Linked DNA regions of Rattus norvegicus. The protein of the gene in region 2 purifies or fractionates together with the protein of the main gene of each other region. This does not show direct contact. Links are inferred from orthologs where the notes say so. Each region holds a gene or a part of one and is shown on either strand. Other genes may lie near its edges.

Region 1 (7,850 bases), on a different chromosome or scaffold from region 2:
TGGCGAACAGGACACTGCTCTTCAAGGGGACCCAAGTTTGCTTCCAGCACCCATGCGATTTCTCACAATCCCCTGCCACTGAAACACCAGTGCACTCGGTGACCTGATTTGGACTTCTTGGGTACCAGCACTCAGACTCGAACACAGCCACCCCTCCAACCCCCCATCATTAAAAACAAAAGTAGGAAAGAGGGGGCTAGAGAGACAGTCAGCAGTTTGGTCCCAGTACCATGTTTGGTGACTCAAAACCATCTGTAACTGGCCTCCGTGAACACCTGAGCTCACATACACGTAATGTACACACACACACACACACACACACACACACACACACACACACACACACTGAAAATAGTGAAATAAACATTTAAAAATACCGTCTTCTCTCAGTGACAACTAATAAACAAACAGGTCTGAAACCTGGTGTGGTTCATGTCTGCATTCCCAGCACACTGAAGGGGGAGGGTCACAAGTTCAAGGTCATCTCCCATCACATAGCACTTTGGCCTGAAATACAGGGGATTTTATTTCCAAGTAACAAAGACTTGGCGAGGCGGTGGCTCAGCAGGTAAGGGCCAGGCCTGATCATGTAAGTTCTACCCCCAAACCCACACAGTAGAAGGAAAGAACCAGCTCCCACAGTTATTCTCTGTAAGCCATCTTGCCTGCTCAGGCTTAGTTTTTAAAGACAGGATCTTATGTATCCCAGGCTGGACTCAAACTTGTTATGTAGCAGACAGCCTTGACGTTTTGACTCCCCACGCTCTTTGGTGTTCAGAATATTGGCATAAAGCACCAAGCTTGGTTTATGTGGCTTTGTATCAAACCAGAGATCTGTGGGTGATGGGCAAATGCCCCACCAACTGAGCCACATCCTCATCCCGAAATTTTTTATGGGGTGGGGTTGGGTGGTGGGGGACTGGGTCATGCAGAGCAACACAGGTAGGCCTGGAAGCTGCTATGTGACCCAGGCTAATCTTGAATGTGTGATCCTCCTGCCTCAGCTTTGTATGTGCTGGGATTCTATCATCTATAAAATAGCCCCACACTTGGCTCACTCTGGACAAGGCTGTCTGAGATCTAGGGAAAAAGTTATACAAACTCAAAAGCTAGGAATGTTTTCTAGGGACAGAGTTGGTTTAGCAGTTAAGAGTTAGTGCTTCCTGCTCCATCGCTCATGCTTGTGCTACTTACAAATGCTGGTAACGCCAGCTCAAAGGAATCTGACACACTTTGACTTCTCTAGACACTCAAACACATGTGTATATATTTACACATAAATAAACATTACAAAAAATGAAAAAAAAACTTTGCTAGGCATGGTGGGGCACACCTTTAATCCTAGTATTCTGAAGGCACAGGCAGACAGATCTCTGTGAGTTCAAGGGTAGCCTGGTCTACTAAAGATGACCTGGGAGTTCTAGACAGCCAGGTCTGTTATAAAGAGAAACCCTAACTCAAAAAACCGAAAGCCAAAATACCAAAAAACAACCCCTCCTCTCCCAAAAAAATCAAAACCCAAAACAAAAAAATCCACACTTATTTTTCCTGGATTATTTGATAAATTAGCATTTACAAATCAGGTTGGTAAATTAAAACATACCAAGACTTAAAACTAACCTGTAGAATACAGCTTCATTCAGAAATTATATCATTTTAAGTCACATGATTATTCTCAGGGTAGGCTAAAACTATTCAAATATCACAAGTAAGAAACCACCCTTCATAGATCATAAACATGTTGATTAAAGGCGCTTACAGTCTTACATGATCTGAATCTGGCAGGAAGCTAGAATCTTACTGAGATACTCTGATCAGTTTCTTTTTTTTTCCCTTAAAGAATTATTTATTTATTTAATGTGAGTGATTGCACTGTCGATGTCTTCAGACACACCAGAAGAGGGCATCAGATCCCATTACAGATGGTTGTGAGCCACCATGTGGTTGCTGGGATTTGAACTCAGGACCTCTGGAAGAGCAGTCAGTGCTCTTAACCGCTGAGCCGTCTCTCCAGCCCTCTGATCAGCTTCTTTCTCGTTGCTGACAAAAGTGACAACATGCAAAAGTGATTTTCAGTGGCCGCTCGTACCTGGGTACTGCCGGATAGTGGACACAGAACTGGTGATAGGGGTGTAGGTGTGGGCAGCCAGCGGGTAGGCAGAGGGCGGGTAGGTTGGCAGGAAGTACTGGAACTGAACAGGAACCGAAGGTCTAGAAATACAGCACAGATTGCACGGAACAAAGTCAGTCTCTTCATGCAAAGGACCCCATGCCCCAGACCCCCTTGTCACAGTGCACAGCACTACAGTCTCCCAACTGTGTCCCAACTTTACATCAAAGGACAAAACCAAGAACCAGAAAGCAGTACATGGTTGCTATTAGTACACGTCAGTTAATGTTACAACAGGCTCCACAGATGACTTTTTTTTTTTTTTTTTGTTCTTTTTTTTTCAGAGCTGGGGACCGAACCCAGGGCCTTGCGCTTCCTAGGTAAGCGCTCTACCACTGAGCTAAATCCCCAACCCCCACAGATGACTTTTTTAAGACTTTAAGGATGTTTTCTAAGACAATAACCAAAAGAAGTGACAAAAGCCCAGGAGATGGGAAGTTCATTTGAGTCCCAGAGTTTGAGATGACTATGGGTACTTACACTATACTAAAGATCCCTTCTCTAGCCAATCAAGCAGCCAATGAACTATTCCACTTGATACACAGTTATATTGCTATTGTTGGAAAATTTAATCTAACATGCATAAAAAAAAACCCCTCTAATTTATAAAAACTAATTCAGAGACCAGAAAATAAGAAAATGAGATTTACTTTGTTTTTCTGATCTGAATACTTTCTTGATACCAAAAATGGTCAGAAAAGACAACAAATTTTACTCTATACTTAGACCGAAGAATTGTACACAAATTTGAATTATGCAGAGAAACAAGTCCATTACAATCACAGGAAGAAAATAATAACTCAGTCCCATTTGCTATTCATGCTTTACATATTTACAAAAACCCAAAGAAAGCAACTATTTGAAGCAGTTTAAAAATTTACAAAAACAGAAAAAATATCCGCAGCACACCCTTCAAGAACTAAAGGCTTAAAATAGAAAGAGAACTTCTATTCATCACACTGTAGACAGGATGGAATGGAATCTATCAAAGATTCCACTTAAGGCAGGGATAAGACAAGGAGGCTCGCCATCTCCCCTACCACTGTACTTTAATTTTGTTATTTACTTCATGTGTATGGATGTTCGGTCTGCATGTATGTATGTGTGCCATGTGCATACAGTGGCCTTGAAGGCCAGAGTGGGTTAAGATTCCCTGGAAGTGCAGTTAGAGATGGTTGCAGGCTGCCATGTGGGTGCTAGGAACTGAACTCAGATCCTCTGAAGAGCAGCCAGCCCCTAACTGCTGAGCCATCCCGCTAACATCATACTGAGAACTCTGGCTACTTCCTAAAATAAATGCAAATGAAAAGATGCTGTCTATATGCAACAAGTGAACAAACAATGGTCCTGCCTATTTGTAGATGAAATGTGAATGCTTGCATTGGGAATCTAAGAGAATATATAGAGTTTAGAGCTAATAAGAACATGTAGCTTGGTAGATGGACATATAAAGTAAAATATTAAGTAAAACCATAAATATTTCTAAAAGACTGACACTGTGGGGAAAGGAATACAGATATGGGACAGGGGTGAACTGAAGTGTCAGCATGTCTTCAAATGTCACTCGCTTCTGACCTTTGCCTGCAGCAAAGGCATGGAGGACCAACAATCTATAGCCAGAGCCAAGCAAAGGTTGAAATGCAGCTCTCCAAAGGATCCAAGGCCCCTGGAAAACAACAGACTCCTGGGCTCAATGGATATGTGTTGTGGGAAATAAAGGAAGGGCTAGAGAGGAAGGGAGATGGTGAATCCCACAAGTGTGGTCTTGAGGTTATCCCAAAGGAGTCCATCTTAACTCCAAATAAAAGGCAGCAATGACTGAAATTAAGTCCCTTGCCTGCTAGTTAACAAAACTAAATTCATAGGCTCTGACATTCAAAGTCAAACAAAACTCAAATACATAAATATATACAGGAAAGTCTCTTCACCTCAGAAAGCCAATCATGATATGGAAGAAGCAACAGAAAAGTCAGTCCTTTGCAAATACTGTAACTAATTCAGCCATGAATTACCAGAAAATACAATGATTGAATAAAAAGTCATAGCTTCAAAGTTGTTGTCATTGACACAGGGTTTCACTGTCTTCCTGGCTGTCCTGGAATTCTTTATGTAGACCAAGCTGGTCTCAGACTCACAGAGATTTGATCCCCCACACACCCCCCTCCAGACTAGAAAATGACCGATGAACACCTCCACCCTCATTTACTAACTATAATAACCTGGCAACCACAGGACTATAGCCAGCATGTGCTTTGTAATGGTGAGAATGAACCATTCCAAAAATGCACAGCCGCAATCTAATGGTGAGGACACAATACGACAAAACCACAAACTGCTACTGTACAATGTAACTGGGCTGTCAATGCTACAATGAAGGTGTAGAAAAGAGAACTGATGGCTATACGATCATTTCAACTCTCCGTAATTGCTTACAATATACTGCGCCTAAGAGAAACAGATATAAGTACTTATGGAGAAAGGTTGTGATCCCGCAACCCATATTCTAAAAATGGTTAAAAAACAAAACACCAAACCCAGAAACAAAACAAAACTTAACACAACCAAGAAATGGATACTAGGAGAATACCCACCAGAAGAATAATGGCTTGATAACAATTGTGCACTTTATAACACTAAAATAGAAATCCAATAGTGTATTATTTTCAGAGGGGAAAGCAAAGACAATATCATGAAAGATGAGGGCGACTGAGACATTGCCTCCTACCTGTTGTCATTTCGGGTTTCCATGGCCACAGGATTTGGAGAGGCCCGATGGCCGGAAATGGGGATCAGGCTGCTCCTCTCGGAAGGGTAATCAGGCTGGATCCGAGGGGAAGTGTGTGTGATCTGCTGGGGCACCACCTTAGCTAACGACAATAAAGCATCAATTCCATTACTACTCACGGGCAAGCTGGACATGTGAGTAGAATCCTTATAAATGCCTACAGTTTGCCTTCACCAACCAGGCCTTTTACTTGCAGCCTGGCTTTTTGGGGATCCCAAGATTGAACTAATTAGAGGTTTAAGAAATTCACTGATGTGCACGCAAGAGCATCTCTAGAATTAGTATGAAAAATGAGCATGGTGGCGTGAACCTGAGGGATGGAGATAGTCTTCCCTTGGAAGATAAAAACCAGGAGATGCCTGGGGCTCACGGGCCAGCAAACCTAGCCTAATTGGCAAGTTCCAGGTGAGTAAGAGACCCTGGTCAAAATATAAGGTGGACAGTTCTCATGAAACAACTGTTCTAGTCTCCACAACTACTTATGTACATGCGCGCGTGTATGTGTACACACGTACACACGTACACACACACACACACACACCTCTCAGCATAATATTTTGATATAAAATGGCAATGATTTTAGAAGAAACTAGAAGATAGTCATGAAGCACCTTGGGACAGCACTCACATGAATGAGGTGATCAACTGTTCGATCCTCCCTACTGCTTCCTGTTGGATTTCACCTTACAGTCTACCAAATTTCTCCAAAGTTTAAGTTCTCCTCAGTTCAGACTTTGAGTTATGTTTCTAACTGCGTCAGCAAAGTTAACTTCAATTTCTTACTATACAGGGTACATTCAAGTACAGCTTGATTTAAAGTCAAATCTGGGTTGGTGAGATGGTCCAGTGGTGAGGGCACTTGTCTGGAAGTTTGGCAACCTGAGCTTGATCTTTGGGACCCACCCACGTGGTGACAAAAGGGAACTTACTCTCCCCAGGTATCTCCTGTTGTCATATAGACATACAGAATAATTAGTCAAGTCCAAGAAAGTCTGCGTACTCGGGAGACTGTCATTTAGTTTGCCTCTACTTCTTAATGCCAAACATAAAGGGCAAGTTAATATTAAAAGTCAAAGTCGAGAGGTGGAGGCGGCTGGCTGAGCACTTAAAGAGCCCCCATGCGGTGGCTCACAACCACTGCTAATCCAACCGCATGAGGGTCAACATTCTTGTCTGGTCTTTGTGGGCACCATGCATGCAAGTGGTACATATACATACAACTCAGCAAACATACACACACAAAGCAAGTAATTCTTTAATCAATAGTAACGGGGCAATCCTTCCCAGGGTTGGCCTGATCCTCCCCTCCATGCATGCTCTCCAAGTCCCCAAAACAGAGCTGGGTCCCACATCTAGTGTCTTGCCACCCCTGCCTCTAGGCTTCTACAAGTTCTCCCAGCCCCACCTGGCTACAACCTACAGACCCTTCTCAAGACACATCCCACCGTTCTTTCCAGTCAGATCCTGCACATCCTTCACCAGGGCCCAGTGCCTGTCCTGTGCAAGCACCCTCTCCAACTGCCTGATCTACCCCCAAATCCAGGCTTACACCAGGACATGCACCATGTATGCCAGCCCAGGTTCCCATGTCTGCCTAACTTCATTCCACTTAAGCCATGTCCAACCTCAAGGCCTAACCTGGCCTGCACATCCTAGGTTCTGCCCCAACCTACTCTGCTCATATCGAATAGAAGTAATTAAAGAAGTCCATATACCTAGATCTCATCCTAAAAATATAAACAATATAAACGGTCAAGGTAGTATCTACCCCAGACTCATCAGTCCTATAATAATGGTCCCAAAGAGGACTGCCTGAAGATGAGGCCCAGAATTAAAAAAAAAAAAACAAAAAAATAAAACAATAAAAAACATCATCGGGCTGGAGAGATGGCTCAGCGGTTAAGAGCACTGACTGCTCTTCCAGAGGTCCTGAGTTCAAATCCCAGCAACCACATGGTGGCTCACAACCATCTGTAACAGGGATCCGATGCCCTCTTCTGGTGTGTCTGAAGACAGCTACAGTGTATTCATATACATGAAATAAACAAAATCTTAAAAAAAAAAAAAACAAAAAAAACATCATCAAAGAAATTAAAAAGTTTAAAGAATGTAAAGCAGCTCAATGACTTTAAAGAGAATAAAATGCCTGAATGGTGCCCAAGGAGACACAAACACAAGGCTGATGGAAATGACAGAAAATACATCATTTGAAAACTGAATTCAATAAACAGAAACATGGCAACTCCAGGCGAGATGAAGCTAGAACTGGAAATCCCTACCAGTCTAACAGGCAACGCAAGCAAAGTCTTACACGGAGAACCAAGCAAGCAGAATATCAGGACCTGAAGACAAAGTAAGAGGAACTAGAGAAATAAGCAAAGAATATGAAAACAAAACAAACCAGGAAAGGAACACACAGGAAACGTGGGATATCATGAAAAGACCAAGGTCTGAGTTAGAGAAGAGACAAGGGCAAGAATCCCAGGTCAATGACACAGACCAATGGCCAAGAAGACCACTGAAGAAAATGTCTCAAACTAAAGAAGGTCACACCCAAACAGATATAAGCGCATACGAGACAAACAAACAAGACCAGAAAAGAACATCCCAACAGAACATCCTAGTCAAGCCACCAAGGGAGAGAACAAAGAGAGAGAGAGTAATGAAAGGTGCAAGAGAAAACAAAACAAAACACAAGTCACATGTAAAAAAAAAATCCATCAGAATACCAGCTGATTTCTCAGTGGAAACTCTGAAGCCGGAAGAGCCTAAAGCCATGCATTCCACATCCTGAGAGACTGCTAACCTACACTAACTACCACGTCCTGAGAGACTGCTAACCTACACTAACTACCACATCCTGAGAGACTGCTAACCTACACTAACTACCACGTC
Region 2 (8,308 bases):
CCCGTACGCCTGCCTCTCAGCTTCCCTCCAGCCCTACTCTATTTTACAGACAACCCTCCTAATGGCCCCATCCCTCCAAGGTCCTTCCCTATGTGGGTCCAGCTCCCACAAAGTCCCTACTATCAACATTGGGAGTCCTACACCCAAACCCCAAATTAAACAAAGGGCCAGTGTCCAAGGATGTGGTGGTTTGGAATTCATCAGGCCCAAGACACTACCTGTCCTTGTCAAAAAAATCACCAAGCCTCCCCACGGAGGGTGGTAAAGGACCAGCTTCCTGTGAGTATGCAAGACCAGGGACCTACTCTGACTGTCCCCAGGAGCTAGGTGTCCCATCCTCATTTGCCCACTGACAGCTGGTTTCCTACTCCTCCCCTAAAACAGCTCAGTGATGCAGGTAAAGGTCTGCTTCCCCTGAAGAGCTTGGTCAGGAGGGCAGCACCAACACAAGGAATATCCACTCCTCCCACCTGTGAGTGCCAGTGGGGACACTGAGGCAACAGCGGGAGAAGCTGAGGCTTCCTGAGGGAGAACAGCAGGTGAATGTGCTCCAAGCCTCCTGCTTATGACAAGGCATGGTTATCTATGCCCTCCCTTCACAGGAGGCAGATGAGATAAGGGCTTACTCCGTAGACCAGGCTTGGCTTTGAACTCATGGCAAATCTCCTGAGTGTGAAATGACACCTTGAATCAAAGCACCCAGCTCTGCTTGACCCTGTGTTGTCAACTGGGGTCCTGGTGCTTGTTACCTGGCTTTCAGCAAGGGTATAGGTGTCCCTGCATTAAAAAGGCAGAGGCCCTGGGTGCTACACCACATGCTAGAATACGGAACTCCTCACAAGAAAGAATAAGAGCCTGCCACACACATCCCAACAGCTGGGGACTCCGTCAACACCTTTGTCAGAACATATGGGAAGAGTGTTCAAATGTGGCTGTGAAACCTAACTAATGATAGGAGAGGGAGGGGGGGACGGCAGGAGGGAAGGAAGGAGGAAAGGAGGGAGGGAGGGAGGAAGGGAGGGCGGGAGGGAGAGAAAACACGCACACAAGAACGCTGCATTTCAAAACTCTAAAGCTGGGTGCTGCGACGGTGCCTATCATTCCAGCACTCTGGAAACTAAAGCAGGAGATTGTCTAGTTACAGAGCCAGGCTGGGATACAAAGACCACGTCTCAAATAATAAAAACAGCATAGATAGAAAAATGGCTGAAAATTAGAAATCAGCACGGTGCTGACATGTGGGGATGTGTAAAGTTTGGAACCCCAAGTTAGAAAGCAAGAAACACCTGGGTCAGAATCCCAATTGAGCACTATCAGGTCATTTGCTGTCCCTAAGATTAAGGGAGCAGCTCCAGAGTACTCCAAGGGAATGTGACTCAGGACAGGCAGAGGTGCCCTGTTCTTGGATCTAAGACTGTCTTGGTCATCCTTTCTGTAAGTCACAGGGGCTCCTTGGTCACCTAAGCCACCTATGAAGGGAGCAGTCCACCCCCATGACTCAAACTCCACTTCCGGCCAGCTCCCATTCCCTGTAGCTTAGCTTTCTAGTGAGTGGGGTCCTGAGTTCTGACATCATGCACGCCCTAGGAACTGCTCGTTCTCTTGACACAGCTCACACTGCCTGGTCCACAGCCACAGAGTCCAGAAGTTCTGTCTGTTAAGGCACTGACAGTCGCAGTTCCTGGGTACCAGGTACAGGTGTGAAACGGAAGATGCTGGAATCTCAGTGGCACATGCTTCTAGGAGTTCCCTCTGAAAACTGGGCAGGGCGGGGCTGCAGGAGGCAGGGTGATGGGCAGGGCCAACAGAACTTACACAGGAGCCGCTTGGAGGGCCTGTGGGGCCACACCACCTTCCCAGAGTCCCCTCCAACCTCACAGAAAGCCTGTGGTGGCTCCCGTGTCATCCTAGCACTTGAAAGACTGAGGCATGAGGATGAGGTTCTGAGCTACGGTGAGAGTGGCAGTGTGGAGAACTACAGACAGCAGGCTGCAGAGCCCAAGCCTGAGCTGAGAAAAGAGCGTCTGGTAATCCTATGACACAGTGAGAGGAACAGTTATTCCCATGCACACAGCTCAACCACCTCGGTCTTACTGATGGACTGACACAATGGAAGCCGAAGAGGCCAGTGCACACTTGGCCTGGTAGGTTTGTTGGGAAACCCTGGAGACCAGATCTCAGCTACTAGTGATTCAATGACCCTGACATCTCCTCCCTGCATGCCCGCCCCAAGTGCTAGGGATTAAACCCACGCTGAGTGTACTGTCTCACACTGACCCACACTCCAGCCATTACACTGGATGGGACAGCAAAGGCTGTCTCTGTGTTTCTGTCTGGCCGTACACTAGAGAACCTAGAAAAAGAACAGGCTGTACAAAGGCTGCCAGCAATATCAAAAATGTCTAGCTGTCCCTGTGGGTACGACTCTTGAGGTCCACATCACTCAAGCGAAACCTACCTGGTTGCTCAGAGGTGACTGGATGTTCAACTTGCCGTTCTTGGGAATGTCTATGCGGTATCCAAGCGGAAGGAAAGCATTAAACCCCACGATGAGGTCAGGGTGCTCATGGAAGAGCTGGGACACACGCCTAATCACGCCGGGGGTGTCAATGCTGGAAAAAAAGAAATGCAAGTGGGCAAGCATCCTGGGAGTTAACTGCCCAGGTGCCCTCGAGATCAACTCAGCCCAGGCTTAGTGGATAGATGACAAAGAAAATGGGCCCTAACACGTTGTTCTGTTTTTTCCTTTGGAGACAGGGTTTCTCTGTGTAGCCCTGGCTGGCCTCCATATGCCTGCTTCTGCCTGAGATTAAAGGTTTGCACAACCATGCCCCACTAAATAAATGGGCCCCACCATGTGAGACCACCTGTGACTAGGTCTAGCAAGAACTGTAACTGTAACTATATATATATTATATATATATATGTGTGTGTGTGTATGTGTGTATATGTGTGTATATATATATATGATAGTTTTGTGTGTGTGCACACATGTGCATGCGTGATGTATATAACTACATAACTGTATCTCCAGGCCTGGGCCCAATTCTGAAAATGTCCCCACGAGTTGGGTGCTGGGCTGAGACTCAACACAGTTCTCCAAGCAATGTGAGAAATTCCCTCATATTTTGTGAGTTAGAGATGGGTGAGGATACATTTTAATTTCTTTTCTAAAGGGAGTGTGTAAACACTGGAGCCTTCAAGTTGGGGGACTGGTAAAGTTGGGATGACACAAGTGTCTTCTTCTGGCCTCAGTACCCTGAATGTCCACAAGAAACCAGCCCAGTCCTTCCACACATCCAGAAAGCAGACAGGCAGGTCAGTACCAGGATCTGGGGGAAGTCCACTGACTGACAGTCTGGGTTCTAGCTCCACCCACCTGTCACTAGAGTAAGTTCCTTACCTAAACCAAGTCGCCCCTCCCAGAAGGTTCTAGAAGACATACACATAACTCAGAGGCAACCAATACACCTAACTGCTACGTGTCTACAAACAGTTCCTTTATAACCACACTGGTTCCGGATTGGTAAGTGCTATGAAAAGCATCTTTGGGACAAGAGTTAAAAAAGAGATTGTGCATACCCCTCCTAAGTAATATTTTCTTGCAGTATTAACAAAAGACGCTGCCCAAAACAAACAATCAAAATCTGTACCACCACATTTATTTTCTGCGTGTACCACAGATCTCAAGTGCAGGTCGACGACTCACAGGAGTCAGTTCTCTTCTCTCTGGGGCTGGAACTCCCAGTGCTCAGGCTTGGTGGTAGGCACTGTTACCCACTAAGACATTTACTCTACCCCAAATCAACATTTTAAAGACACACCCAACACTCCCTGTCCAGGCCTCAATTCCCTAATTCCTTTATTCCTTCCAGGAATCCCTACCAGTTCATCAGAACTACCTCATCTGGTGAAGGGGCTCCCAGGGCCCTCCAATCCTGTGCGTGATCACCAGCTGTGTAGTTAGTTTGGGGGTTGGAATGCTCGGCCCACTGCTCCTAGGTGTACAAGGCCCTGTAGATTACCTCTGGCTTTTGAACTCCTTCATGATCTCCAGGAAGCCGTTGTAGGTGGCAGGGTCACTGCCAAAGCGGATCTTCACCTGGTCGAGGTAGGTGAGAGCATCCTCCACCTGCAGGGAACAAGAAGGCCATGGGTGGGCAGGGGTCGGGGGATGCAGAGACTGAGGGCTGGAAGGTCAGGGATAGAGAAGGGGTGGCACCGGGCAGCAGAGGGCCGCGAGGATAACTGCGATGTTCCGGGAAGGACCGACGGCTGATTGGGAGGACCGAGAGCCAGCGGGTAGTCCCGAGGGGCCTCGAGGAGTTCCGGATTGGACCGAGGACTGGCGGGGAAGACCGAAGGGTCTCGGGGAGGTCACGAAATCCCCTGGAAGACCGAGGGGCGGCAAGAGTAACTAAGGGCCAACTAAGAGGACCAAGGATTTTCGGGGCGCACCGTAGGGTCCCGGGGATGACAGGGACCGCAGGAATGACTGAGGGATGTCGAGAAAGACCGCCGCATCTCTGAGAAGTCTGAGGAGCGGCGGGAATGAGTTGTTAGGGGGAAACCGAAGAGCCGCCCCAAAGACCGAAGGATTCCGCGGAAGGGGTGTGGGATCCCCGGGCCCGGGCTGCGCAGAGGGGAGGCCAAGGCGGGGCCGCACGGCGGGGCACCATCCCCGCGGGGGTCTGGATCCCCTGGAGGAGGCGAGGGACATCACTCACGTGCACTGGCAGCTTCTCGTGCCCCCCAGAGCCCGAACGACCCCAGCGGGAGCCACCGAATCCCCGGCCCGCGGAGCCTCCACCGCCTGCGTGCGCCATGTTGGAAGTCAGAGTCGCGTCTGCCCCGCCTCCGCTTGAGCTCAGGTCGCGCTTGCGCGAGCCCCGCCTCCTAGGGGTGGAGACTCCTGGCGTCAATGGGGCGTGTCCGCTCGAGGGACCTGCGGGACAGGCAGGTGATCATTCTCAAACTATGTGCCCTGGGGGGTCTGTGGCCACCTGGAAAGCCAAAAGTGTTTTTTGTTTCGTTTTGTTGGAGAAAAAGGAAGTAAAGCAAAGTTGAAGAATCTTTAAAAACGCATTAATTCTATAAAATTCGCATTTCAGCGTGCAGGCTCACCTGTGATCTCAGTACCAGGGAGTCTGGGAGAGGATCACTGAAAGTTCTAACCTAGACTGGGCTACATAGTTAAGACTATGTCTTTTAAAAATCGACAGGTATTGACCTTGTCTTAAAAAGAGAGGGAAAACAAGTATATGTCTGTGTTGACCCAAGACCCAATAGTGATATTTGTAAGGATCTGGTTCTTTCTGGAACAAGTTTCTGAACTTTCTGTGGGGTTAATATAGCGATGGACTGTAAGTGAGCAGCATTCATTCAAGAGCCACATGGACTGAGTTCTTGCGCGCGCGCACGCGTGTGTGTGTGTGTGTGTGTGTGTGTGTGTGTGTGTGTGTGTGTCTGTGTGTCTGTGTGTCTGTGTGTCTGTATGTGTGTGTGTGTGTGTCTGTGTGTCTGTGTGTCTGTGTGTCTGTGTGTCTGTATGTGTAAGTAAACTCACTCCTATATATATGTACAGAGGCCAGAGATGGACCTCCCAGCTCTTGTGTTTTGGGGGCAGGATCTCTTACTGAACCTGGAGCTCATTGTCTCCACTTTATATGGTGGTCATGGGTCTGCCCCTAGTCTGGACCCTCCTGCTTGCTTAGAGCAAGCTCTTTATCCACTAACTCCTCTCACAATTCCATTCCTTGATTCTGTTCACAGATGGGTGCAAACCTGGACCATGTGACCTCTGCTTCCAGACTGACTTTATTTTTGCGGGGCTGGGACTGGGGCCCACTTTAGACAAGTGCTCTACGGGTCTACATTTCCAACCCTTTATTTTTTTTTTAAATGAGACCTTCTCAGGTTACCCTCCAACTTGCAATCTTGTGGTCACCCTACCTTCACAGGTGCCACCATACTTGCCTCCAAATTTCCCCGTTTTAAAAGTTTGTATAGGCCTGTAGAAAGAGAAGTCAATGAAGATAGGGCTATTTTAAGACACAGATATACAAGGAAGTCCATCCCAGCTACTGTTTTTAAAATGTAAAACAAGGAAATATACTGCATTTATTTGTGGATAAAGTTAATCAGATACATAATTCTTCCTATATTTTCATATAAAAATGTTCTCTCCCATAAGTATATTTGTGGCAGGGCATGATAATGTTGCCTATAAGCCCAGTACTTGACAGGTGTTAGAAGAAGGATTTTGGGGCAGTGCTGAACTGGTCATTTCCATGCCAGGAAGAGGCCCCCTCTCAAAAATAGGAAGTATGGTAGAGGAGCTGGGGGAATGAGTCTGTGGTTAAAAGCCCTTGTTGCTCCCACAGAGGACCTATCCTTGGTTCTCAATACCTACATGGTGGCTCACGACTGCTTGTAACTCCAGTTTCAGGAGATCTGACACCTTCATTGACCTCTGCAGACACCAGGCCCACATGGTACACAGAGATCCATGCCAATCGAACATTCACATATTCATGAAACCACTTTTAAGTTTAAACAAGGTAGAAAGCAATAGAGGAAACTACCTCATGTGTACTTCCGGCCCCTACATGCATCCATACACACATGCACACCTATGTGCACACAATAACAAAAACATAAGGACCTAACTAGCTCTCACCCCTTAGCTTCCACCGGCTGCCAGTGCCCTCACACTGTGAGACATGCTCCCAGCACATGCCAGCCAAATCCAAACTCCAGCAGTCACTGGGGATGTCAAAAGTAATGGGGCTTTATACACGTGCTTATGATCCTGAAAGAGTTGATTTTCTGGCATGCATGGTGGCCAGGGATTAAACAGTAGTGACAGAATCCTAGGGCAAGCTGGCCAGCCAGGATGACTGCATTGGCTAGGTTAAGCAACTGAAAACTGTTAGTTTTCTGTCATTTGGGAAGAGAGAACCTCAACCAAGAAAATGCCTCCATCAAATTGGACTCGGGCAAGTCTGCAGGGGCCTTTTCTTGATTAATAGTTGATATGTGAGGCTCCAACCCAGTGTGGGTGCTGCCAATCCTGGGCTGCTGGTCCTGCTGAGTTTAAGAAAGCAGGCTGAGCAAGCCATGGGGAGCAAGGCCATAAGCAGCACCCTCCATGGTCTGTTTCAGATCCCACCTTGTCCTGCCATCCCTCAGTGAAGGGTTATGATATCGAACTGTGAGCTGGAGTAAACACCTCCCCCCACCTGCATGCTGCCTCCTGTCATGGTGTTTCATCACAGCAACAGACACCCAAGGACAGTAAGAGACCCTGAGGTATGTAGTGGTCAAGGTAGACACCTAAGGCTAACTTGTGACCTCCAGGTGAATACTCACATGAGTGCACATGATCTCATGAACATGAGGCTAAACATACAGATGAGACAGACAGACAGACAGACAGACAGATGGAGACAGACAGACAGACAGAGACAGAGAAGCTAGTCATGGTTATGCCCACTTGCACCCCAGTACTCTGGAAGCTGAGGCAGGAGAATCATTAGTTTGAGGTCAGCCTGGGGTACAGAGACACCATCTCCAAGCTTCAGCCCCAGCAAAGAGGAAGGAGAGGATACCAGGTAGGCCTAGCCTCAGAGTCCTGACAGAAGGGTTAGCCTTCCGGTCAGTGGCAGAAGAGAGCATCAAGCCTCCCGGCTAGCTCCCAGAGACAAGCAAGTCCCTGGGAACGAAGGTCTGGCCTTGAGCTGAGGACCTGGAGGAGCTGACATCCTGTGAGATACGGCACAAAGGGCCCTGTGACACTGTGCAGGATTGTTGGCCCACAGGAACAATCAGATAAAAACATGGTGGCTCTGGACAGATCTTGCAACAATTCGTTACTGAGCAACAAAGAACTAATTTAGCCCCCAAGTCCTTGCCCCAGAAAGCTTCTTCCCAGGGTGCCCACCAACTGCTGAGTCAGAGCTCCTGTTTATCTACACAAACCCTGCTCTGCCCAGGGAGAAGGGCTCACTATGAGGGGCTGATTGTGTGGAGCAGGAAGATTGGGGAGCAAGTCCCTTGGAACTTCCTCTCAATGTGGCTGTGAAGGAGAAACTGATCAAAAAAAAAAAAAAAATTGAAGCTAGGCACCATGGCTTATGCTTGTAAGAGACTGAGGCAGGAGGATTACCATGAGTTTCAGGTAATCCGGAGCTACATAAAGAAGTTCAAGGCCAGCCTGGTCTACACAGAGAATTCCAGGACAGCCAAGGCTACACTGAAAAACCCTGTCAAACAAACAAACAAAGGACAATAAAAGAAGATTGAAAGT
Region 3 (7,325 bases), on a different chromosome or scaffold from region 2:
TAAAAGACCCAGTGTATTTAACACAGCTAAAAAGAAAATTTTGCCGACCTGCTTGCCAGCTGCTTGTGGTTGCCAGTCCCTTCACTTCATTGCAGATTCTTGGAAAACTGGCCTTTTAGTACATTTGGGATGTACTCGTTTCTTCACAAGGTTTTCTTTCTTTAGATGGCTCCTTCCAGAAGTTTGAAGTCACATTTAATACTTAAACGTTAAAAAATGCTAATCCACTGAGTGGGTGAAGACTATGCCTGTAATTCCAGCATTCAGGAAGCAGAGCCAAGAGGAACATTGTGCTTGGCCAGCGGGGGATACCTAGCAAAGTCCCTGTCTCCAAATATTTCAGATCCTAAGCAATACTGTGTTATCACATCCCTCTGCAATTATACAGTCACACAGGGGCCACACGAGCCTGTAATGCTGGCTTTTCAGTGGAAGGCTGAGACAAGAGGACAGCTTCTGAGCTAGGTGTGTGTCAAAGGTCAGCCTGGGCAACTTGATAAGGTAAAACCCTGTCTTGAAATAAAAAAGTAAAGCCAGGTGACTCGCACAGACATGTAATCTGAGCACTCAAAAGGCCTGAGGAGGACCAGACTTTAGTCATCCTCAGCAACATAATGGAATTTGAGGGAAGGAGGGCTCCATTGGCAGAGTTAGTTATGTCAGGGGAGTTACCCGCTAAACCCTAAAGGGGCACATGGACACAAGGGGGAGACCCTCATCGCCTCCAGGAGGGCACTGGCCACGCTGCAAGCTGTAGTCAGCCCGGCACAGCTCTCCAGGGCTCTCAATGAAACACAAATGAGTCTGACATAACACACTGACATAACACACGGCACTCACTGCTCCACACCCCCACATCACACACCACTCACCCCCACCCCCACTCCAGGCCCTTTTTTCCTCTTGTGCACCTTCCTTCCCAAAGCAAAGCTTAGACCTGAGCTTCCTTGAATGGCCTCAGTGCAGTCTTCACTTCTGGACTCCCACTAGTCAGTCATAACATTCCCTCTGGCCCCAAGTTCCAGTCACTTCCAAGATGGGGCCTTGCCCTTCTGTTGAGACTCCATTATCCAAGTAGTGTGTGGCTGATCAGTACTTAGGAGGTGGGGAACTGATGGTTCAGGTCACCAGTTTGTCCTGTTGTCCTGAGCCTATTAAGGAAATCTGGACTTGGGTGTACAAGAAGTCCAAATCATCTCCTTATGCTAAGCTGTAGGTGAACTTGAACTGACATTTGAATGACCAAACTACAGTAGAACGTGTGCATTCCTCCTGGCCGGTTCAGACCTATTCTCATGCCTCAACTTTGATTTAGATGTGGTGACGCTCAAGAGTATTAGGTACAGGGGTCAGTTGCATGTACAATAAGGCTAAATCAGATGCAAGGTTAACCGCCCTATATCTTCAGGCATGTGTCTTCAAAAGCAAGGGCCATGTCTGGCCTAGAACCCAGCTCTGCTGTGTCAGCCAACAGCATTCCGTGCTGCTGGGAAAAGGTGTACAGAAAATGACAAGGGCCATGCGGCACTCAGCTGAGGGGGTCCTTGCTTTCTTACCGTTGTTAAGATGAGAAAGGTAAGCTATGGAGTCTTGAACATTCCTGGGCTCTGACTGCAACAGCAGTGCATTTGTGTCACCACCGGCTTCCTCTCAAGTGACAGCACATTTTTGATATTGAAACCCCTCACTGACTGAGGTGACTGATATAGCAGACTTGTTAGATGGCTTTCAAGACCCTCTACAGACTATGAGGCCAGCTCTTCCACCTCCTTCCTCCTTAAATGCCACAATGAACATGTGGGAGCAAACAAGTTCCTCTTGAAGTTGCTTAGTAGAGGACGACGCACCTCTAACGCCACACTTAGGAGGTAGAGGAGGTAAATCTGAGTTGAGGGCTACAGATGACAGATTAAATTGTTGCAGTATTTTTTAAAAGATCATACATAATATATCAGGTGAATTGGAGCACCCTGGAAATGGGGAGAAGCACACTGGCTGGTTTAACCATGATTACTGGATTCCTGTAACAGGCACAGAGGGGTTACTCAAAGCAGAGCCAGAACGGCTCCGTCATAATGAGAATCTGTGAAATTGAAGCCAGGTTGGACAATATAGCAATTTTATTCCCAAGAAAAAGGAAAAAGAAGGTTTATGTTTATTGAGTCTTGGTCTATACCCAAGATCACTGCCTCAACCTCGTGAGGGTGGGATTACAGGTGCGGGCAATCATATACTGCAGAAACATCTTTTTATATTTGTGTATTCTCTGTGTGTGAATGCAGAGGACAGTCTTCCTTCTACTATTGGGGTTCCAGGGATTCACAAACCAAGGTTGGTCATCAGTGCTTACCTCTGAGCATCTTGCTAGCCCCCAAATACAGTTTTAAAGTTGTACTTAATTATTTCCTTCTTTGGACAACCCCCCAAATCGTAACAAAAAGATTTGTATTTACACTCTAGCAAAGTAATGTAGAGAAAGATAATAACAACCTTAAAAAAAAAAACAATTTACTTAAGGTTTGTTTTTTTTTTTTTTTTTTGGACAGGTTTGATTTGGTGTAGTGTTGGGAACTGAAGCCAAGGGCCTGGGGCACACTAACTCCATGCTGTACAACCAGCTGTGAAGGGGCTTTAAGGTTTAAAAGCAGAGCACTGCCTTTGGGACACTGATGTGTCCTTGTGATAATGCAGGCTGCAGCATGTACATATTCTCAGCAGTCATCACATACAAGGTGAACTAAAATTACTTAACCTGCTACAAACAAAATCAAGGATTCACAAACTATGGCATTTTATTTCAGAGCTTCTGCTTACATTTGTACAATATATTACATAATTCATCATGTTTGCAGATCCTAATATATACTTTATAGTTTTATTCTATTAGTTTTTCTTCAACATTTTGCTGTCAACAAATCTTTACAGTCTGTACAAATTTGAGTAACTTGAAACCATTTTTCAACAAAATTAGTTACTGTAAGCACACATTACAAGACTGAAAATGCTTTTCTTAGAAAGGTTCAATGTAAAGGATTAAGGATTCTGACACGTTAGCATCCACAACAAAACGCTTCAAAATTCTCACATGTATTGCCAGAAAACAAATAAAACATGCCAGCCTCATTCAAAAAAAAAAAAAAAAAGGAAGAAAAAAAGAAAGAAAAGAAAAGAAAAGCACACAGAACCACAATTAAAACAGTAAAACAGTCTGTACAGTGAAGTACTGTGTATTTAACAGCGCCAGGTTTTAAATAGCTTCAATGAACACATCCGCAATATACAAATGTATTACAAAGGTGGGGAATTAAATACAAGTGCCAAACAGAGATTGGAATCACACAACATAAAGTCAATACAAGTGAAAACAGCTTGGCGTTCATTTTGCAGTTTATACAAGGCATTTAATTGTATAGGCCTACTACCCAATTAGCTACGTATACGTAAAATAACAATCATCTTTGTGAGGCAGGTCATAGAAACAGCCTTGAACCATTCTAACAGTTTGTTCCTGAATTCTTTTTGTTGTAAGCTCATAATAAAATAAGCAATACAAATGAATTATCTGCATTTAAGGGAAAAGAAACATTTACAAGAAAACACAAAAATATAACTGTTATAATTCATTATGAATAAATATACACTTTGAACTGGCTAAGTACAATCTTTATACATTGTTTAAGATTTAATACAGTTTATTAGCCATTTTCTTTTTTCACACAATGTATTATATCAAAATTAAAAAAAAATACTGATTTATAGAAAAATGGCAAAGTACAGTAGTCCCATTTCAATTTAAGGGGTGTGAAAAGCCACCACATACCTTTTAGCCTAATTCAAACCTGTAAACATGTTCAGTCATTTTTAAAGAGAATCTTCAATATTTGGTTACCAGGATGAAATCTAATAATATCCTGTTAACTGCAGGTTTTGAATTTGTTACATGTGCTTGACTTATACAATTAAAGTCACCATAAGGTGACTTGCTTTAAAAAACAATTAGCTTGTACAAATGAAAATAGGTTCATATTTTTAATAAATGAATGGAAAAATATCAAATGTTCCAGCTTTAACAAAATACAAGGGAATACATATACAGTAAGTCATCTCACATGTTCTGGCCCACCTTTTCTCCACCTACTGCATCATCTTCACAGGCAGTGAAAAGCCTCCTCTGCCACAGTGGAAGGCCTTCGAGTTACCAGACACGCAATTCCCAGACAAGTTGGAAACAATTATTGCTTGAGGAAAAGCAGTTCGTTGTACTTTTTCTTCATAAAAAAAGTGCACTTAAGTGCCAAGTCAGCTTGTCAAGAAATAATTTTTAAATATAAAATAGTGCTTGTCTGATTTTGTGTGTTTGTGTGCCACTGTGCAGTATAAAAAAAGATGTGGCCCTCAACAGCCATTAAGTGCAAAGTGCTCTAGCAAGTCCTGCTGTCACCTGCACTCAACTGACATTCCATTCTGTGATGCACTGGACATTGACGGCTCAGCTAGTGTCAACATAACAGCAGCTGTTATGGAGCTGGATGAGGGAGAGGAGGAGGAGGAAGATGTAGCAGCACCTGAGGAAAAGGAAGAACACATGTGAGGCTACAAGGCAGGCTACACTGGGAAGAAGCAAAAGCTCATCTTCAGCCTAAACTTCTTTTGTGTTCTCCAAATTCAGCGTTTAGGAGCCATCCCTGCTCAAAGTACCATAGTGTAAAGAAGGGGAAAGTCCATGTATCTAAGCAGCAGACTGTTGCCCATCTGTAGAACGCAGATGGTACAGTATTTAGAGCTCAGTGACAATGTACTTGCTTGGACTACAAGGCCATTAGTTCTGTTCCTAGCCCTGCCAAAGAAAAAAGAAGCAAGGTGGAAAGGAAAGAGGGAGGAAAGGAATTGTGTATCCACACTGTAGAATACAAAATTAAAGAATAACTTTGTTCACTAAATACCCACCCAGTTTTGAATGAAAACAGGAAAAATGTCTGTCATTTCTGCTACTTTTCTAATACCACATTTCTGTACCACTTCTCCAATAAACTTTGAGACCTCAGAGACAGCTTACAGGTATACACTGCTTGCCTCTGTAGCCTAACAACCTGAGCTGAACTCCCAGAAGCTACAAGGTGGAAGAGAAGAAATGACTCCATGATGTTTCTTCTTGTGCACACTGCACTCAGACAATAAATGATTTTGTTTCCAAGTTTAAACAGAATGGGTGGTTCAGGTGAAAAGCTAACCATCTGTACGACCTCCCAGTGTTTATAATATACTGTTTTCCTCAACAGAATCATTATATCAACACACGGAATGGAATGTTTTAAGATAATACCTACATACACAAATAAGAAGGAAGTAAAGACCCAGTGAGACAGCTCTATGGATAAAGGCACCTGCCACCAAGCCTGTCCAGTCTGAATGTATATCTGAGATCCACAAGGTGGAAAGAAAGAACTCACCTCCAAAAGTTGTCCTCTGACCTCTAGATGTACATTGTGGTAGAGATGCACATATGTATGTGTACGTGCCTACATACATACGTACGTGTACATACACACACACACACACACACACACACACACACACACACACACACACAAAATGTAAAAGAAAGTTTTTGTCCCATACATGGGAGTAAGTTGGAGAAGCAAATTTGTTACCAGAGCTCTATTTGCCCAAATGCTCCCCTTCCTGTCCCTAGTTGTCCAATGTTTAAAACTTTGGATGAAAGTATTACTGTAAGGCCTAATCTTTGATAAAGACGGTTGCAATGATCCATAACCACACACTTATTTCTGCATTTCAGAGACTCTGGACTACCAGAGCCAAACAGTTTCTGTAGAGACTATAGTGGTCCTCAAATAGTCACCATGTCTCTAGAGACAACATCTACAACTCATGTTCTAAAAGAATTTCATCCTAGAATCTCGAAATGGGAACTTATACTTCCTAATTTAACAGCACTTATTAAAACACAGGGAGGAGCTGGGGAAGAAGCCCAGTCACTGGAATGACTGTAGAGACCCAGTTCCATCTCTAGAACCTATATAAAAAAGTAGGGCCTGGTGGCCAGCCAGTTTAGCCTATGAGCAAGGTCCAGGCAAATGAAAGGTGCTGTCTTAAAAATAAGGTATCTGAGGTTGTCTGTGGCCTCCACGCACAAGCAAACACACAAACACAGGTGGAAGGAAAGAGTAAATATTGTGCAGTGTCATACAGTGTACACTCTCTTGCTTTTACTTTGATTTAGGCTATGAGACAGGGTCTCACTATATAGCCCTGACTAACCTGACCTTGAACTTTTGCAAACACTGTCCTGCCCCTGCTTCTTGAGGGCTGCAGTATGGGCCAGCACCATAGTGCAAGATCATCCACATCAGCTCTATTGCCTTTTCTTCTCAAAGTTAAATAGTAGTATACTATATTTATGAATGAGAACTTCTTTAATTTCTAAGCTTTTGTTGTTACCAACAATGTAATATTTTGTACATAACAAATACAATTTTATTTAAGACAGGGTCTTAAGCAACACAGGCTAGCCCCAAATCCACCATTTAGCCAAAAATGGTATTTCTCCTGATTTTATTTTACCTTCCAAGTGTTGGAATTACAAGTGTGTGCCACCACACCTAGATACGAATACAAAAACTTAATGTCTGCTTTATTTTCATTGGCTTGAATATGCAATTAAATATTTTCCATCAGCAATGTTGCTAATTCAACATTAACTGATTCCCATCTTGATTGCGCATGGCTTCAATACTATGAACTAATGGAGCAGGCTTCCCTCACTCCCTGCTTCCATTGCTGCTCCTAGTCTATGTGCCACCCAGCATGTCATTTCCCTGTGTAAACGCTTCTAACAGCACTCTCTCTCCTCAGAATAAAACTGCAACCCCTCACTCTATCCTACACAGTCCCACATGTCTTGCCCTCTGTTTACCTGACTCAAATCTCTACTACTTTCACACCACAATGGTTTTCATTCTGGTGTGGAAAAGAACCAAGTATACTCTCACTTCAGAGCAGTGGTTCCTACCTAATTTGGGGTCATTCTACCACTCCTTCATCCTATGCATACCTGACAGTGTCTAGAAGCATTAACATGCTGTGCCACTGGCATGTGGGATGGCAGCTAGAAAAGCTGCTACATAGAGAACAGCTATCAAGCTCAAAAGCCAACAAGGTCACATTTAAGGAATTCTATCTCAAGGACATCTGTCAGGGACTTCTGGTGTGAACTGAGTCATGCACCAAAACTACCAATGGGAAATAATTACAAGTCATACTGTTAGAAGGAATGTCAACTATTACCACCACAGAAAACAACATGG

What was found. Proteins that work in one complex are often made in the same cells at the same time.
Region 1: the proteins of Sin3b (region 2) and Sap130 purify together in Homo sapiens (affinity purification with mass spectrometry; 3 studies listed by BioGRID and IntAct, with this or other methods). This does not show direct contact. The link is inferred for Rattus norvegicus from reciprocal best matches to the Homo sapiens genes SIN3B and SAP130.
Region 3: the proteins of Sin3b (region 2) and Arid4b purify together in Homo sapiens (affinity purification with mass spectrometry; 3 studies listed by BioGRID and IntAct, with this or other methods). This does not show direct contact. The link is inferred for Rattus norvegicus from reciprocal best matches to the Homo sapiens genes SIN3B and ARID4B.

The regions. Positions count from the first base shown.
Region 1 is NC_086036.1:23,577,662-23,585,511, reverse strand, and holds part of Sap130 (histone deacetylase complex subunit SAP130), read right to left. Parts: intron 5,038-7,850; coding exon 4,896-5,037; intron 2,212-4,895; coding exon 2,090-2,211; intron 1-2,089. UniProt on the Homo sapiens protein: Acts as a transcriptional repressor. May function in the assembly and/or enzymatic activity of the mSin3A corepressor complex or in mediating interactions between the complex and other regulatory complexes.
Region 2 is NC_086034.1:17,189,204-17,197,511, forward strand, and holds the start of Sin3b (paired amphipathic helix protein Sin3b), read right to left. Parts: upstream 4,849-8,308; 5' UTR 4,827-4,848; coding exon 4,728-4,826; intron 4,133-4,727; coding exon 4,026-4,132; intron 2,613-4,025; coding exon 2,459-2,612; intron 1-2,458.
Region 3 is NC_086035.1:55,831,141-55,838,465, forward strand, and holds the end of Arid4b (AT-rich interactive domain-containing protein 4B), read right to left. Parts: intron 4,566-7,325; coding exon 4,438-4,565; 3' UTR 2,768-4,437; downstream 1-2,767. UniProt on the Homo sapiens protein: Acts as a transcriptional repressor. May function in the assembly and/or enzymatic activity of the Sin3A corepressor complex or in mediating interactions between the complex and other regulatory complexes.